4 linked regions of the Cricetulus griseus genome follow. The protein of the gene in region 2 purifies or fractionates together with the protein of the main gene of each other region. This does not show direct contact. Links are inferred from orthologs where the notes say so. Each region holds a gene or a part of one and is shown on either strand. Other genes may lie near its edges.

What was found.
Region 1: the proteins of Bag3 (region 2) and Pdlim7 purify together in Homo sapiens (affinity purification with mass spectrometry; 3 studies listed by BioGRID and IntAct, counting the BioPlex papers as one, with this or other methods). This does not show direct contact. The link is inferred for Cricetulus griseus from reciprocal best matches to the Homo sapiens genes BAG3 and PDLIM7.
Region 3: the proteins of Bag3 (region 2) and Hsf1 purify together in Homo sapiens (affinity purification with mass spectrometry; 3 studies listed by BioGRID and IntAct, with this or other methods). This does not show direct contact. The link is inferred for Cricetulus griseus from reciprocal best matches to the Homo sapiens genes BAG3 and HSF1.
Region 4: the proteins of Bag3 (region 2) and dnaJ homolog subfamily B member 6 purify together in Homo sapiens (co-immunoprecipitation; 3 studies listed by BioGRID and IntAct, with this or other methods). This does not show direct contact. The link is inferred for Cricetulus griseus from reciprocal best matches to the Homo sapiens genes BAG3 and DNAJB6.

Annotation. Positions count from the first base shown.
Region 1 is NC_048596.1:274,497,957-274,502,076, reverse strand, and holds the start of Pdlim7 (PDZ and LIM domain protein 7), read left to right. Parts: upstream 1-1,312; 5' UTR 1,313-1,436; intron 1,437-2,380; 5' UTR 2,381-2,391; coding exon 2,392-2,487; intron 2,488-4,120. UniProt on the Homo sapiens protein: May function as a scaffold on which the coordinated assembly of proteins can occur. May play a role as an adapter that, via its PDZ domain, localizes LIM-binding proteins to actin filaments of both skeletal muscle and nonmuscle tissues.
Region 2 is NC_048596.1:72,277,274-72,281,431, reverse strand, and holds the start of Bag3 (BAG family molecular chaperone regulator 3), read left to right. Parts: upstream 1-1,352; 5' UTR 1,353-1,481; intron 1,482-1,625; exon of another isoform or gene 1,626-1,853; 5' UTR 1,854-1,965; coding exon 1,966-2,151; intron 2,152-4,158. UniProt on the Homo sapiens protein: Co-chaperone and adapter protein that connects different classes of molecular chaperones including heat shock proteins 70 (HSP70s), e.g. HSPA1A/HSP70 or HSPA8/HSC70, and small heat shock proteins (sHSPs), e.g. HSPB8.
Region 3 is NC_048595.1:373,768,731-373,772,976, reverse strand, and holds the start of Hsf1 (heat shock factor protein 1), read right to left. Parts: upstream 2,809-4,246; coding exon 2,692-2,808; intron 1-2,691. Other genes in the region: ribosome biogenesis protein BOP1, read left to right, coding at 3,194-3,286. UniProt on the Homo sapiens protein: Functions as a stress-inducible and DNA-binding transcription factor that plays a central role in the transcriptional activation of the heat shock response (HSR), leading to the expression of a large class of molecular chaperones, heat shock proteins (HSPs), that protect cells from cellular insult damage.
Region 4 is NC_048601.1:92,980,039-92,984,281, reverse strand, and holds the start of dnaJ homolog subfamily B member 6, read left to right. Parts: upstream 1-1,435; 5' UTR 1,436-1,592; intron 1,593-2,570; exon of another isoform or gene 2,571-2,929; intron 2,930-4,243. UniProt on the Homo sapiens protein: Has a stimulatory effect on the ATPase activity of HSP70 in a dose-dependent and time-dependent manner and hence acts as a co-chaperone of HSP70. Plays an indispensable role in the organization of KRT8/KRT18 filaments.

The sequences.
Region 1 (4,120 bases), about 200 Mb from region 2:
TTCTTTTTACTTTTATTTCATGTGTATGGGTGTTTTACACGGGGACCCTTATTTCTTTTTACTTTTATTTCATGTGTATGGGTGTTTTACACGGGGACCCTTATTTCTTTTTACTTTTATTTCATGTGTATGAGTGTTTTGCCGGCATGTTAATATGTGCACTACATGTGTGCCTCGTGCCTGAAGAGGCCAGAAGAGGGCATTGAATCTTAAAAGAAAAGAAAGCAATGGAGAAAGGGAGTGGTCGGCCTGGCCTTGACCAGCATGCCTCAGCAGGACGGGATGAGACCTGAAGGCTGCAGCTGACTTGATGGAGGTCGTGGAGACCTCGAGTACCATAGAGACAAGGGACAGCAAGAGGAAAAAGCAACGCAGACAGAACAGCAGAGTACCAAGGAGCATTTCTTCAAAGATGACATCTCCTGCAGGAGTTTGAGCCGTCGGGACAATGTTGGGGAAGGGGGATGTATGTAAGGATGGTAGGAGGGCGTGGGGGGGGGTCGTGCCCCCCACCATTCACTCTAACACTCAGGAGAATCGGCTTTCCTTCCCTCTGCCGTGACAGCTCCTTCCACCCCACCCCCACAGGACGGACTGTGTGCTCGGGAGGGGTGTTCAGGGGATACAGTCCGTCCCAATAGTGGTGCTTGGTGGATGTCGCAGAGCTGTGGACTGCTGGCTCTGTCTGGATGGACTCTTACTGTCAGGCCCCATGTGGGGCTAAGGGCCTCCTCCAACTCCGTTGGCTCTTACTATTTATTTGTTTATCTATTATTTATTTCCTTATGTATTGGTTTCCAGATTATCCTGCAAGCCTAGCTTTGGTTGGTTGGTTGGCTTTGGTTTGGGGGATTGAACCAGGGGTCTCTACCACTGAGCTACATCCCCAGCCCCGGGAAAGCTAACTTGCAACTACCCTGTCTCGCTGCTTCTCCATTCCCTGGAATTCAGAAATTCTGAAATCTCCGGTGGCGCGGACCACGGCCGCTTTGACCTGTACCGTATCCCTGACAGAAGGGTATTATGAGGCTATTCTCCCCTACAAGGGGAGAATGAGGTGAGAGAAGACCTCTACAGCCGGGGTGTTTTAAAAGGCTGCTTTCTCTTCCCCCTCGCCAGTGGGAGGCGCAAGGGGCTTGGGTGAGAGCCCGGAGCGGGGCGCAGGCTGGCGGCGACCAGGCTCGGGAGGGTCATTGCCCGGGTAAATGCGCGACCCTCCGTCCCTGTCCTGGAGACTCAGGGCTTGGGGACGGGGTGGGGCCTCGCACCGACCCCGGGATGTCCACTCGCGTGGCCTGGGGAGGGCGTGGCCTAGGGCTCCGCCCCCTTCCGCGGGCTCAAAAGGCGCGGCGTCCGCGGAGGCGGGGTCAGAGCGCAGCGCGGATCCCAGCAAGGCTCCCGGAGGCCGCCGAGCCGCGGCCCAGCCGGGCACCCAGGTACTGGCGGCCGCGGGGGGTTCCTGGGCTGCACCCCGTGGGGTCCCGTGGCCCGCTGAGGTGCTGCGGGGGGCGTGGCGGCCGTGGCCTGCGCCGGATCCCCTCGGTTGGCTTCGGCCGCAGCCTCCGCCCCCGCCTTCCTGCGGCGGTGCGGCTGATTGGCGCCTGCGCCACCGTGTGCGGTGGGGACGCGACCAAGCGCGGGGCTGGGGCTGGAGACGAGGGGAAACAGAGTCACGTTGGGAAGGGAGCTTCGTGCGTGTGTGCCACCACTTTTACTGGCTTCCAGAAAGAGTCCCCTCCCTGGCCGCGCGTTAGGGACATGACCCCCGCCACTCTCCATGGGGACAGCGCCCCGTTTCTTACCCCCCTTGCAGTGCCCGGGGTCCCACCCTGGCTTCCAGCAGCCTCGACCTGTCCCAAAATGGCTAGGACCCGCTGCAGCGGCCTCCTTCCTCGCCCCTCCCCCTCACGTCCCGAGCCCCTAAAGTGCTCCCTCCACGGGCTCTCCACAGTGTCAGCTTACACGCCTTATATAGTCCGAGCAGGCTCCAGCGGCCTGCTGGGACCCGGGGAAGGAGGGGGAGCTGGCCCCTGACTCACCCTGCCGCCCTCCTGAGATTCCAGGTTAGCTTGGGCGAAGCAGTGCCAATTAGCCCCACAGCCCACCCCCGGGAGAGAAAAGAAGTTAGACTTGATGAGAACTTTGCTCACCCTCCCAGTGGCAGGGGCCAGGGTGGGGAACTGACTTGTCTGTTGCCTGTGAGGTCTGCCAGCCGGGAGCCCCGCCAAACCCAACAAGATACCTGCCTCCCAGTGCCTGTGTGTGCTGAGCGTCTCTCTGTGCCTTCTGGTACCTGGCTAACGCTAGTGACCAGATCTGGACCTGCTGGGCCATCTGCAGTGCTGGGTGCGGCCACTCACTTTCTCTTCTGTCCTCACAGGAGCAGGCACCATGGATTCCTTCAAGGTAGTGCTGGAGGGGCCAGCACCTTGGGGCTTCCGGCTGCAAGGGGGCAAGGACTTCAATGTGCCCCTCTCCATCTCTCGGGTAAGCCTAGACTGGGGAATGCACTCCCCAAGGGTTCTTGGGTGCCCATGTTTCCAGCAAATGGTGGGAAGAAACAGCAAGAGCGAGCAAGCTGCTCAGGGGCCAACAGGACACCAGCATCCAGGTCCAAATGGGCCCTTACTTCAAGGACTCCTGGCTAGGTGGATAGTGGAATGGGGAGCCCCCCCCCCCCAGCTGCCCTGCTTTGACATGGTACTTGATGCTATTCCAAGCCCCCTTGGCCATCTGTGAGTGCCAAGGAGAAGCCTATTTTACAATATGGGAGGTTGATGTCTCCAAGAAGTGCTTTAGCATGAAGAACAGTGTGTGGCACCAGGTGCCAGGCAGGACCTAACTTTAATGTCACTGCTATCCAAGGCATAGCAGTTGTCATCCTGCTTTGCCAAGTGACAGGACTTGGAGGGATGGAGGAGCTCAACCAGCAAGTCCCTGGCAGAGCAAGAATATGAACTGAGGCACAAAATGGCTTGTCCTTCCTGTAAGTTTAAGGGGTCTCTTCCCAGCTGAGTGAGGACTGAGCAGGCTGAGACTCAGGTCCTCAGCCTGCTGGTTCTGGTCAGGCTGTAGTGACCTTTGACCCTAAGCAGAGGTGTAGTGAGGCTAGCCTCCAGGATTCTTGTTCCCATTCTTCAGTCTGCCCTGATGGGGGGTGGGGCTGGGAGCTGACTCCTCCCTGTGGCAGGGGGATTGCCTTATAAGCCCAAGAATGTAGCCCCAGCTGGGATGGCCAACAGTGGCCAGTCAACAGAACCCAAAAGGGTTGGCCTAGGTCTAGGCCCCTTAGCGCCATTGGTGGGCCCTTCACCTGATCATCAGTCATTTTGTGTCAGTGGGACTCAAAGCAAACTTTGTGCCAGAGTGGGTGAGGCCAGGGCGCCAGCTTGGTAGCTCTGACTGGCCTAGGGGGTCAAAAAAGGGGCAGGGACTTCCTGCCCTGATAGCCTCCTGCCTAGAGAGGCCCACCCAGCCACAGAGTAGGCATGCAGCTGTTGGCAGGAAGCCCAAGGCAAGCCCAGCCCGAAGGGGCCTGAGAACTTCCCGACACTGCTCAGCCTGAGAGGGGTGTCAAGGCTGCATCTCTCAGTGGGAGCTGGACATCAGATATCGGACATCGAGGCTAGGGCAGGCATACAGACAAACAGGCTGCGTTCTTCCCAGGACCCTTCCCTGGGGCCCTCTTGGAATCCGCCCCAACCAGCAGGGTGACTAAGGCAGTGGGCCCTCCCCCCATGCACATCCTACATCTCCCTCCTCCCGGGAGTGCTGGCCAGTGTGGTGTAGGGCTTGCTTTCTTCCTGGGTAACGATGGCCTCTTAGATGTTGCCTGTTGGAGGCACTCTGGTCCCTGGGTTCCTTTGTCAGCAGCCTTAACGTGTGGGTGGGGCTACCAGCTGAGCCCTGCCCTGGAATGGGTGGGGTGGTCTTTCCTAAATTGGGCCAGCCTGCTATCCCTCCCCTGACCCCAGAGTAGAGGGAGGAAGGAGGGGCGAGGCCTGGCTGTGGGCCCAGGCCTGGAAAATGAGGTAATGTCTGGGATTTGGGGGTTGGGCAGCTCAGTAGAGCTCCCAGGCTGACTCACCCACATCCATAAAGCTGTCCAGCCCCCTGGCTT
Region 2 (4,158 bases):
GTACTGTACACACATGGCGTATATACACACAAGCAAGCAAAAACTTCCATACATGTAAAATAAATAAATCTTTCTTTTCAACAAAACAAAACAACAACAAACAAAAACCCAAGACATAGCCAGGCCACACACCTTTAATCTTAGCATTCGGGAGGCAGAGACAGGCAGGCACATGTCTGTGAATTGGAGGTCAGCCTGCTCTACAGAGAGTTAAACAGCAGCCTGGGCTACATAGGTAGACCATGTCCTTAAAAAACTCATTTGTCATTCAGTAGTCAATAAACATTGATCTTTATTCTTTTATGGAAGATGGACTCTGGACCCAGTCATGTGCTGGGTGGATTCAGGCATAAAGAAGTCAAAGACAGACACTGGCCAGTGAATCTAAAGAGTCTAGAACTTTCTATATGACTATCAGACGATAAATCAGTACACCCACATTTGGGCTTACACATCAGTCCCAGGTGTGTTTGGTTACAGAGGCAGTCCCTGAAGGCTAGCCATGCCAGTACTTATACTGAGGCTTTGGGGCTTCAAGGTTTGTAAGGAAGTCTCGGAAATATCTGGCAGAACCCTCTAGCATTTGCTACAAAATAAAAATCTGAGGGGAAGAAGAGGCCAGAGATGGTATCTTTGAAGATTCCCTAACATTCTCTGAATCTGAGTTGGGAAATTGGACTGAGTATTAATTAGTTCAAGGTGTTCCTACAGTAAGGGAGTGAGTCTAGATGCCTGAGAACCTTAAGTGTATCCCCCCACACATTCTCTCTCTGGAGTGCTCTGGGAACTAGGAAGGCAATAGGATTAGGAGTTGATTGCCATTTAAACAAACAAAATTGCAGGGTTTGGTTTCATCTTTACTTTCCGAATCAGAGTCCCCCTTTACTATTAAAAACAAAAACAAACAACAAACTCATTACAAATCCCAGAGAATAAAAGGCTAGTCACTGGAAGAAAGTGTCTATACTAGAGAAGGCCAAGAGCTTAAAACCGTCACTTCTTTGTTCTTCAGGTTTCCAAAGCAGGCAGGTGAGTTTCAACAGTACTTCCCTTTCTTCCTTCTTTCTGTCTTTCTGTCTTTCTTTCTTTCTTTCTTTCTTTCTTTCTTTCTTTCTTTCTTTCTTCTTTCCTTCTTCCTTCCTTCCTTCCTTCCTTCCTTCCTTCCTTCCTTCCTTCCTTCCTTCTTTCCTTCCTTCCTTTCTTTTTTTGTGACGTCAGACCAGCATTCCAGAACTCCAAGGGAGCAGTCTCAAAGTCCTTGAGAGAAACGTCACTGCAGGACGCCAATGTCCCGGAATATTAGCGTACTTGGGCGTGGGGGCGGGCGAAACTTTTCCAGCTTAAAGATGATTTAGTCCCTCCACAGAGGCGGGGCCACAGTCACCCGGCCCCCGGACTGCCAGGCCCGGGACACCGCAAGCGGCCCGAAGGAGTGGCGGTGACTTCGGAGATCAAAGCCGCCTTGAGTGCACAGGACACCGGTGCGCGCCCATCCGTCGTGAGGCGCCCAGGGCCCGGGACGCACACGGGACAGCTGCTGAGAGGGACAGGAGGGGAGGAGGAGGAGGAGGAGGGGGAGGAGGTGGAGGAGGTGGAGGAGGGACGGGTGACAAATCCCCGCCTCCAATCCCGCCCACGGTCCCGCCCTGCCGCGATTATAGCCGATGACTCAGGGCGGAGCTCCACATCCAACCCCCGGCGACCGCCAAGTTCTCTGGATGGGACCAGAAGTTTCTAGCCGGCCAGTTGCTGCCTTGCCTTTATCTCCTCCTTCCCCTTTGGCAGCAAGGAGTCTATTTCCAGACACTTCCACCCCTCTCTGGCCACGTCACCCAGTCCTTTAATTCATAAAGGTGCCCGGCGCCGGCTTCCCGGACTCGTCGGCGACGCAGAGGTGCCAGCACTCCACAACCTCGTGACTGACCCGCGCCCTAGCTCCGCGCCCCGGGCGGACCCCGACCCAGCATGAGCGCCGCAACCCAGTCTCCTGTGATACAGATGGCGTCCGGCAACGGAGCCGGTGACCGAGACCCCCTGCCTCCGGGCTGGGAGATCAAGATTGACCCGCAGACCGGCTGGCCCTTCTTCGTGGACCACAACAGTCGCACCACGACATGGAACGACCCGCGCGTGCCTCCCGAGGGCCCCAAGGTGAGTCGGACTCGCAGTTCCACCTCGACGGTGAAGCGGCCCGCTCGGGCCGGGGCTATGGGAGCTACCCCACCCTGCGCCCTGCTGCGCCAGGAAAGTCCCTTCCCGTACCCTCCCCGGACTGGCGTCGGGCCCTGGGGGAGCCTCCGGAGGGGTGGCCTTGGAGGGTAGCCAGCGAGGTGCGACCCGCGAAGTGACATCGGGTCGTTTTCAACAGCTTCTTGCGAAGGGCAAAGGACGAAGGGCCGGCGGCCAGAGCTGCGGTGCGCTCGGTCCCCGGGAGGGGCGGCCGGCCGGCCGGATGAGTGGCTGAGGCCCAGGCCTGGCCCGGCCGCTGCCTTTCTGTCCCGCAGCCTCGCGTGCTGAGACCCTCTCCTCCCTCCGGTGCTGGTGGCACTCGACCCGGCTTGCAGGGCTGCTGAGGTGGAGTCCTTTGGGGTTTTCACCTTCAAGTTCCGAACTTACTTTTATCTTGACTTTGCTGGATCTCAGGCATAGTGACTCAGTAGGCTCGAGAAAATGGGTTATTTTTCCCCCTAAATTTAAAATTAAACTTGTGTTACTGATTGGAACAGCTTTCAGTTGAGGGGACGCTGATGCTGCTACTCGTCACTCTCTCTTTTTTAAGGATAATCTTTCTGACAGTTTCAAAACTAGAGATCCGACAGTGCCTTGCATACCTAGCCATTGCCTCACACTGGAGAGAAGGAGAATATATTTTTGATGGCGTAATTCTTCCTTGTTATTATCCAATTAAAATACTCGAAGTTTGTTACAAGAAACAGCTGAGGAGTCTTGTGAACCCAGCAGGTGTATGCTTCATTTATGTACATTCAGGCATGTGTACTTCAACGTCAAGAGCAAGAAAATTTGAAAATATGAATTTGAAAAGAAGCCTAGCTTGTTCTTAAAGGCCTGTCACCCCAAAACTCAGGAGGCTGAGGCAGGAGGGATCTTGAATTCAAGGCCAGCATGGGCTACATTACCAGAGTTTGTCTCAAAAAATAATAATTAAATTTGGAATGAAGCCAGCCTGTGCTGCAAAGTTAGACCCTGTCCTTGGAGAAACAATTAAATTTTGAACAAAATGCTTAAAAATACAAATTTAGGTAGGATTTTTAAATATATCATTAACAAAAGTCATACTTAGCATACTAGTCAGTAATAATTTATGCAAGTTTGATCCTTTCCAAGTGAAAAGTTTGGTAAAATAAGCACTGTTAAAGACTCTAACCTGGGCATGGCGTGATGGTGCCATGCACCTTTAATCCCACACTCAGGAGGCAGAGACAGGGGGATCTATCTCTGTGAGTTCAAGGCCAGCCTGGTCTATAGAGAAACCTTTTCTCAAAAACAAACAAAACAACACCAATAAAAAAATCAACCCAAGCCAGGTAGTGGTGGCACACGCCTTTAACCACAGCACTCAGGAGGTGGAGGCAGGCGGATCTCTGAGTTTGAGACCAGCCTGATCTACAAGAACTAGTTACAGGACAGCCTTCAAAGCCACAGAGAAACCCTGTCTCAAAAAACCAACCCCCCCAAAAAAAAAACCCAACCAAACAAACAAAAACCTTATTGTTGTGTGAAGAAAATAAAAACAGTAAAAAGTTGATATAATATTTGGAATTTTCAAAAACTCACCACATTTGGAATGCTTTAGAAATCATTATTTTAGAAAACTCTACCTTCATTTTTATGCATGTGGTGCTGGGCATTGAACCCAGGTCCTTGAGAGGCCAGATAGACTCTTACAATTGTTGCTGTGGCCCTGTTATCCAGCGGAGAGCCATGTCCTCAGCAGTTTACATTTACAAGGAATTAATTGTATATTTATTCCTGGCTGTTAATTGGGTGGGCATAATCGCATGTGTCTTGTGTGTGTGTGTGTGTGTGTGTGTGTGTGTGTGTGTGTGTGTGTCTGTTCTACCCACTTTACATGTTCTCTTGTGAAACTAGCCCACTTTAGACTGCATGGGGAGTCCTCAAGAGACCCACAGTGTATTA
Region 3 (4,246 bases), on a different chromosome or scaffold from region 2:
CTGGCTAGTAGGTCAGAAACATGTTCAGGAGCTGAGGAGATGATTAGGTAGGAAAGAGAGCTTGCTGCACAAACATGGGTGTCTGGGTTTGGATTTCCTAAGTGCCCATGTAAAGCTGGGTGTGGCTGTGTGAGCCTGTAAGTCCAGTGCTGGGTGGGGTAGAAAGAGAAGGACTGTTGAGGCTTGCTGACTAGCCAGCCTAGCTGATAAAAGGCAAGCTCCAGGTTCAGTGAGAGAAGCTGTCTTAAGGGAACAGGGCAGAGAATGTTAAGAGAGGACACTGGATGTCCTTGCCTTTATATATATTTGCTTGAGTGAGCATTCATGAGTACACACACACACACACACACACACACAACACACACACACACACACACACACACACACGAAAATACACATTCATCTTCAGAACTAGAAGAAAATTAAACCAAACAAAAATCACCACCATCTGTACTCTCTCGAGCCAGACAAACTTATTTCTCATGTTTCTCTTCAATATTTCTAAAAAGGACTGGATAAAATGATCTCATAAAATTGGGATCAAGCTAGATACAGGTTCTGAGCTTTTGTTTTTTATTTAGGTTTGTTCCCCCATTTCAGAATGCACTGAGGTGGCTCTCACTTAGGAGACAGAGGTAGTACAGCACAAAGAAGAAAGGGCCAGTGTTTATCCAAGTATTGAGCCCTACTTGCTGCATCTCTGGGTACTGGATTTGGAGGTGCCTTTGTACAGGTAAAGAGAAGCCTACTGAGGAAGGACAACCCCCATCTATGTGCACGTACTGTATGGATCTCACTGGGATCCTAAATTTCCCAAGGCTGTGCTGTCCTCTGGGATCTGTCTGGGGAAACCCCTGGATCTCCTGAGGTCCCTGTTCTGGTGAAGCACCTGTAACTGAATGAGGGTCAGGGATGGGAAATCAAATACCACTGAGCTAGGGAAAGGTAGTGATCTACTCTGTGTCTAAGTGGTAGGGATGAGCAGCTAGACTTAGCAAGGCTCAGAAAAGAATTTTGGGGGCTAGACACGCTTTCCCATGTATCCAGCCTCCCTGTTCCCTCCAGGAGGATATGTCTGAGAATAGTGAGAATTCTGACTGGAAGTCACTCAGACTATGAGTGTGGATCCAAAGTCTCCAGAGCAGTGGGCCTGCAGTGAATGCTGTTAAGAGGCTACCAAGCCAGTATAAGTGCCCACAGGACATGGGGCAGGAGTGGCGGAAGCATCATTTCCTATCTGTGGACCAGAGAGCTCCATTCAAGGAGTTCTGCTGTCCTTGTCTGGTCCAGACAAAGGTGTTCTTCTTCCACTTCTATGTCGGAGCTTGGTTGCTATACTCATGATCATGCCAGCTCCCATGGCCATGTCTCATACCAGCTAGAGCCCACTGCTGCTTTGTACAGACTACTTGCCCATACCTCCCCACATGCCAGCAACGCTCACAGGTGATGTGCAGCTGGGGCTGGAGGGAGGTCACAGGGCAGATCAGATCCATCTTCACACTGAGAGGCCCCCATCAGAACATCCTGTCCTAGAAGAATGTTCACTGGCACTTCACCCACATCTGTACCAATCTATAAGCAGAAACAGCAGGGAGATTACCAGATAGGATGGAGCTTCCTAATAGGACTACGCTCAGACCATTCCAGAGAACACTTGGTATCCCTACTGGACCTAGGTAAGGAAGCTCCCTTTCAGTTAAACAAGCAGAGGTGGAAAGTTGGGGAAAGATAGAGGAGAGGTGGTGAACTGAAGATGGCCTTCATGAAAACATACTGCTCCTTTCCAGGACTAGGTGAGAGAAAGACCCATAGAGAGCCAGTGAGGTAATCACAAAGACTTTGTAGTGAAAAGTGAAGCTCCGTGGTTTCTAGTCTTGGCAGAGCAGAGTTTAAAGAAACAGGCAACTGGGAGGCAGAAGCCTTGGCCTCTACCTTCCACCCTGGCTTTGCCATTCTTGCCAGTTTAAGAGACTAGTGTGCAGGAGGGAGGGCTCAGCAGAGCCAGATTTGGCTTGTAGGAGATCAAGTAGTTGGCAACTAGCCGTCTCCACCCTTCCAAAGGCTCCCTCGGGATCAGGATGGCCTGTCTTCAGGCCATCATTTGTTAGCTCTGAGCTCTAGCCCTCACACCCAAGATGTGAACAACAGACTCTACTTTTCAACTCGACACAAACGCAGACCTATTTCTGTAAGCCAGAGCTGCTGGCCCAGCAGGGTCTGTGGTGTATACAGCCCGCTGCCAGGCAACAGAAGAGGGCTCGACGCCGCCCTACCAGGGCCGGGCAAAAACGCTCTGGCGTCTGAGGACTATAATGGATGAGCTTGGGCTTCACATCCTCCTCTCTCGCTCTTCTGTGCATTCTCTAGGCCCTCCACTTAACTCTGAACGGTTGCCTACAAGCAGAAAGGCAGACGGACTCTGGGAAGCTATTCATCTATGAGTCAAAGAACCTGAACTGGAAGCCCCGACATCATCGTCCCAGTGAAACTTAGGACTCTGGTTCCCGGCCTACTCTCCGCCGAGTGGCTCTGGGGGCGGGGCTCACTTCCTCCCCAGGCAGCGGCGTTGTCCCTCCAGGATGCCTGAACCCGGGCAAGCCCGGCTACCCTTAGGCCTCTTCTTAGTAGGTCCCCTCCCGGAAGAGGACCCCACTCTTGAAGGCCGCTCCGGCCCATGCCAGCTCCTACCGGGCTCCAGCAGATGAGCGCGTCGGTGTCCGGGTCGCTCACGAGGGTCCACAGCTTGGTCAGGAAGGCCGGGACGTTGCTGGGCCCCGCTGCACCGGGGCCCAGAGCCAGATCCATCTCGGACGAAGCGGGTGGAGGCTGGGATGGCGTTCTAGAAGAGTGGTTAAGGGCTGAGCTAGTGTCGTCGCTGCCCCTGCTGTCCGAGCCGCTCCGCCGCCCGCTGCGCACACACAGCAAGGCCTCGCATGGCCGCAGCCATCTTGCGACCGGCGCGCTCTCGCTAGGGCCGGACCTGTATCCCGTGTGCGCAGGCGCTGTGACCTGCCCCGCCCACTCCACTGGCCCTGCCCTTGGGCGGCCCACCGCTCTCTACGGCTGCGCAAGATGGCTTCACCCCGGCTGCTCACCAATCAGAGCCTGGTTGGGCGTGGCGTGTCTGAGGGCACACGAGGCGCGCTCGCTGCCGGAAGCGACAGTCTATCGGTAGCCGGCGCGGCGCAGCATGGCGGGGGCGTGGGGTAAGCCCCACATGTCACCAGAATCGCTGTCGGGGAAGCGGCGTTTGGAACCCGACCAGGAGCCGCAGCCACAAGAGGTAACCTCGAGGTGGTGGGTCGCATCCCTCTGTGAATCAGGTGTGCACGTGGCAAAGCCAGGGAGGCCGGACCCTGGTACTGTGTCTGGTGACTGGGGGGTCGCCTAGAGCCCGGAAGAACCTCGTCCTGTCCTGGGTGTTATTTTGGAACCCTCAGAAAAGCACTACCTGCGCCGAGGGCCGCTAGAACGTGGCTTGAACCTTGTTAAGGAAGGAAGAGACCTTTAAGAGTGCCTTTCACCACAGTCTCTGAACCTTCCATCTGTGTTTCCTGCCCTAGAAAAGATTTTAGTTGTGTTACCATGCCAGTATGTCAAGTGTGTTGTGAAATAAAAGAGGACATGAGAATATAGAAGCCTGAATGGGACCCAGGGCATCCAGTACTGGTTGTCAGGGAATCATTGCTTCTCCTTGTTGCTGGGCTACTTAGACTTGCTGGTGAGGCTCCAGCAATCTAGGTGGTAGAAGGCACGCACAACCATGTCTCTTACAGGTGACTCCACAATCATTGGCTGTTCTCTTGTTTTATTAAATGTACCTAAGCTGTTTCCTACATGCAGTTCTAGGTAGTTGGCCCTTTGTAGTCAGTTGTTTGTGTACTACTTTTACTTATTATTGTGATATGTGGCTGAGTTTTGGAGATGTCAGTAGTAGTAAGAGAATCACTTGAGCTGTGAATATTTGGTAATGAAAGACACTCAGCTAGGCAAGAATTATCCAGTGGTAGTGGCACACATCTTTAATCCCAGCACTGAGGAGACAGGGGCAGATGGATCTCTGTTAGTTTGAGGCCAGCCTGGTGTACATATCGAGTTCTAGGTTAGCCAGGGCTGCATGGTGAGACCTTGTATTAAAAAAAAAAACAAAACCATGAATCTGAAACCCAATTAAGACTTAACTTAGCCTATTGGAAAAACAGTGAAATTGAAATTTCTGCAATTACATGGTTCCTAAAGAGTG
Region 4 (4,243 bases), on a different chromosome or scaffold from region 2:
GTGAAAAAGCTCAGTCTATGAAAATGCCCTGTTGTAATTTTTTTTTTTGGTGGGGGGAAGGGTTTTGAGACAGGGTTTCTCTGTGGCTTTGGAGCTAGCTCTTGTAGACCAGGCTGTTCTCGAACTCACAGAGATCCACCTGCCTCTGCCTCCCGAGAGTGGGGACTGAAGGCGTGCGACACCACTGCCGGACGACCTGTTGTAATTTTTATCTAGCAAGTCTATTAAATAGATGTGCAGTAGGCACATTAACAAAAGAAAAGTATATACGATATTGTGCTCAGGAGGACAGCACATGAACATCAATATTCAGAACTCTTGTTAGCGTTAGAAGCTTATAACTTCTCCACCGGGGAGATGCGCAGAGGGTGTGGGCAACTGAGAGGAATCAGCCAGAGCACGGGACCCTTAGAGTCAGGGCAGACTGAATGTGGTATTGACCTTAGTCCCTAAGGCTAAGGTCTTAGTTTCGGAGGTTGAGCCTTTAGGTAGATGAGCCACACTTGGGGAAGCCCCACTGAAACTGCTGTTTCTTATTACTGAGCAGAAGAAATGTGCAAAATGCCTTCTGTCCAGCATCTCGGGTAAACTGAGCCTGGTGGAGGTTTGTAAAACAAAACCTGCAATTCCAGGGACTTAACCGTTTTGAGCTGGAAAGTTCAAGGTCAGAGGTTGAAACTCAAGAGGCGCCTCATCTTAAAAGAGGGCGGGTTTGGGCCCTCGGGTACAATGTTCGGTTAGCCTGTGCTGGGCCTTGGAGGGGTCAATGTTTAACATTTGGGAAAAAGATTTCATTCAACGGAAAGCCAAAGGGGGTTAAAAGAACAGGGGAAAAACATCCTTTGTGGTGAGAAGGTCGTTGAAAATCAGACAGTGGATTCTATTGGCATTCCATGCTGGTGATGACCGGGTCTCTCCTGCTCCAAATAAGTGATGAAGTTTGGGGACAGGGACACCAAGGAGGATCTCCTAAATCGGGGCTGCTTGTCGGCCTGGCAGAGCCTCAAGTGTGCGAGCCTTTCCTCCAAACCTCATGACTACAACTCCACGTCCACAGAGCGTGAGTCACACGAAGCTATCTATCTGGTCGCTCGCTATCTGCGAACTTTATGGGTCAGTTTCCACAGAGGCCGTGAGCGTCCTTCCTCCCAGTCTGCTTCCGGGCAACCGCAGGCCCCGGGGCCAGTCAGGCAGGCTCGCCCGGGAGTCGCCGCCGGCTTCCGGAGGTCTCCAAACCGAGGGTTAGCGCAGGGTGGCGCTTCCCGCTCGTTCTGCTTTCTCGACTTCCTCCTTAGCGACTCCACGGAATCCGCGACCAAGGCTGCCAGGTTCTTCCGAGTGCGAAGGGGGCGCTTTCGAATCCGGCACGAGCCCGAGCCGGTAACCGCTGCTGCGCATGCGTGGCGTCAGGACCGGGCGGAAGTGGACGTCGCCGCGCCGCCACCGCATGACGCACTTCCTGTTTGTTGTTGGAGAAAAGGAGAGAAAGGAAAGCGCGAGGAGACGCCGCCACCGCCGCCAGCGCAGCTGTGCCAGAGCCGCGAGGAGACCAGCCGCCCGACTTCCCCCCCTCGCCGGCCGCCGCGTCCTCGGTGAGGGGCTGCGGACCGGGCGGACGGCAGGGTCCACTGCGCGGGCGGGGCGGGCCGTCGGCTGGCGCGGGTAGGGTGACCTGCTCGGCGCCTACACACACACACACGGCCGCGGGGACGCCGGCCCGACGGGGGGCCGCTCGCCAGGGCCGGACGGGCGGGCTCCAGTCGGAGCGGCGGCCCGGCGTCGCGGCCCGAGGCCTGGGGCTTTCCTGGCGTGGGCCGGGTCTAGACCGGCTCGGTGGAGAAGGCCGTGCCGGTCCGCTCAGGCCTAGCCGGCCCCGGCCGGGCTCCGCTCCCTGCCTCCCGGGGCTGTAGTGGCGGTTGGGCCCGGCACGCGCGAGCTCCGCCACAGGGCCGCGGGAGGCGGCGAGGCCGGTGTCACCCTGTCCTGGCGTCCCCAGTGCATTCTGCAAGCGAGGGGGTCAGGTGGCAGGCGAAGAGGAGCGGGGCTCGCCGGGGAGGCGCGCTCACGGGCTCAGGCTGCCGGCCGGGCTCTCCCGGCCCAGGACTGTTGGGAAGTTTTGCTAGGCGACCTGACTGGGCGCCGTTTACTTTCAAAACCCGTTTGCTGTTAGCCTTCCAGGGTGCCTCGCTGTGGGTTTATGTAACTAAAAGTTTATGTAACTGAAGTTTACATTAAGTCTTAATTCGCTTCGGTCCTGTGGAAAAGGGAACCCTACGCTGCAAGCCTTAAGATTGTCCTGAAAACAAAACAAAACAAAAACAAAAAACTGGGGGGGGGGGCTGGCGGTTTTTATTTTATAGAATGAATTGTTAGACATTTTAAAACTTGTTTACCGAAGTTGTGTGTGAATTGTCGAAAGGGAACGGAGGGGATGGTCCCACTTTCTCAGGCACGCCCAAGCAGGTGGAGAGTGTAGGTCCAATGCACTCACTTTGTTTTTATTAATGTCTTTATTTGAACCATAGATTTGTGGTCAGGTTTTATGGCTAGTAAGTCCACTGTATCCCCCTTTCTAGGCCCTGCAATCCTGGGAATTGAACTCCGTACTTACTGCTTGCTAGGGGAGTGATGGCTACTAAAAGCCAGCTACTTTAGTAGAAAAACTAGACTTAAGCAGCCAAGAAGGGAACGGCCCTAACGAAAATGCATCCTAGTCGTTGAACGTTGGTCGTGAAGTAATTGAGCACATCTGTTACGGGACTCTCTTTGGGAAGTTCTTTGGCAATTCCCACCACAGGGGGAATTGCCCTCCGGTGTGTGATTACTACGCCGCCAGTGATCAGTGCAGACACTTGCCGTGAACTGCGAGTGGACCTTTGGAATTAGAAGAAATAAGAAATCTGGGAAGAAATATGCTGCCTTTGTGTAGGTACGGGTTGATTTGATAGAAAGGAAGAAATGTTTGTGATTTCTCTTCCCATCACTTTTTCCACAGCAGACTTTGGAAATTTTGGCTTTTCATGTGTTTGCTTTTTGAAGAAGTTGGCATTGTGTTTTGCTTTTTTGAGACAGGAGTTCTGTGTAGCCCTAGGCTGTACTGGAACTCACTCTGTATTGAACTCTTGAGATTTGCCTGCCTCTGCCTCCCCAGTGCTGGAACTAAGGGGGTGCCTCACCACACCCCGCTAAGAAGTTAGCTCCCACTTTGTGTGGTTATGAAGCGAGTGTTACAGCACACATGTGGGAATCCTCCATCCATCAGTCTCTCTTCTGCTAGTTCCAACCCTCTGCATTTATATAGCTCTACAGTACCATATCTGAATTAATTCTTTTTTGTTTTTTAGATTTTAGTCTCTCACTTGTAGCTCTGGAAATCAGTGGTCAGTTTGACTCTGCCTCCCGAGTGCTGGGATTAAGTTGTTGTTTTGTGTCTCTCTCCCCCACCCCCCACCCCGTTTTTTTTTTCTGTCCTCTTCATTTTCTTTTGGGTACAGGGTTCATTTTTTTTTTTTTTTAGCTCTAGCTGGCTTAGAACTTGGTATGTAGATTAGGCTAGTCTGGAGTTCACAGATCCACCTGTGTCTGCCTGTAGTGTTCAACCATGCCTGGCCCAGAGTACAACTTTTGGAGTCAGTTCTCCTCCTTTCATGGATTACTAGGGTGGAACTCAAGTTGTCAGACTTGTGCGACCAAATTATTCGGCCAGTTGACCCAGCTCCACAGCTTGAGAAGTTGGCCTCTTTTTGTCTCTGAGACAAGTCTCCTCTGTGTAATAGTGCTGGCTGTCCTGGAACTTGCTCTGTAGATCAAGTTCCTGCCTCCTGGAGAAGTGAAAGATGGAATCATATCACCGAGTTTTAGGGTGGACACTGGCGGTGGCACCCCCCCCACCCCCCATCCCCACCCCCCACCCCCACCCCCGACAGGGTTTCTCTGTGTAGCTTTGGAGAAGCTGGCCTCGAACTCAGAGACCCGCCTGCCTCTGCCTCCTGAGTGCTGGGATTAAAGGCGTGCGCCACCAATGCCCAGCTGGCACACACCTTTCATTCCAGCACTGGGACAAACAGGCAGGATGGTTTCTAGTTTAAGGCCAGTTTGGTTTTACTGATGGAGTTCAGGACAGCCAGGGCAAACACAGAGAAACCATCTTGGAAAAAAAGAAAGAAATCATTTCTTGAGGCAGAGACAGGCTAGTCTCCAGAGTTTGAGGTCAGTAAGGTCTACATAGAGAGACCCTGACAAA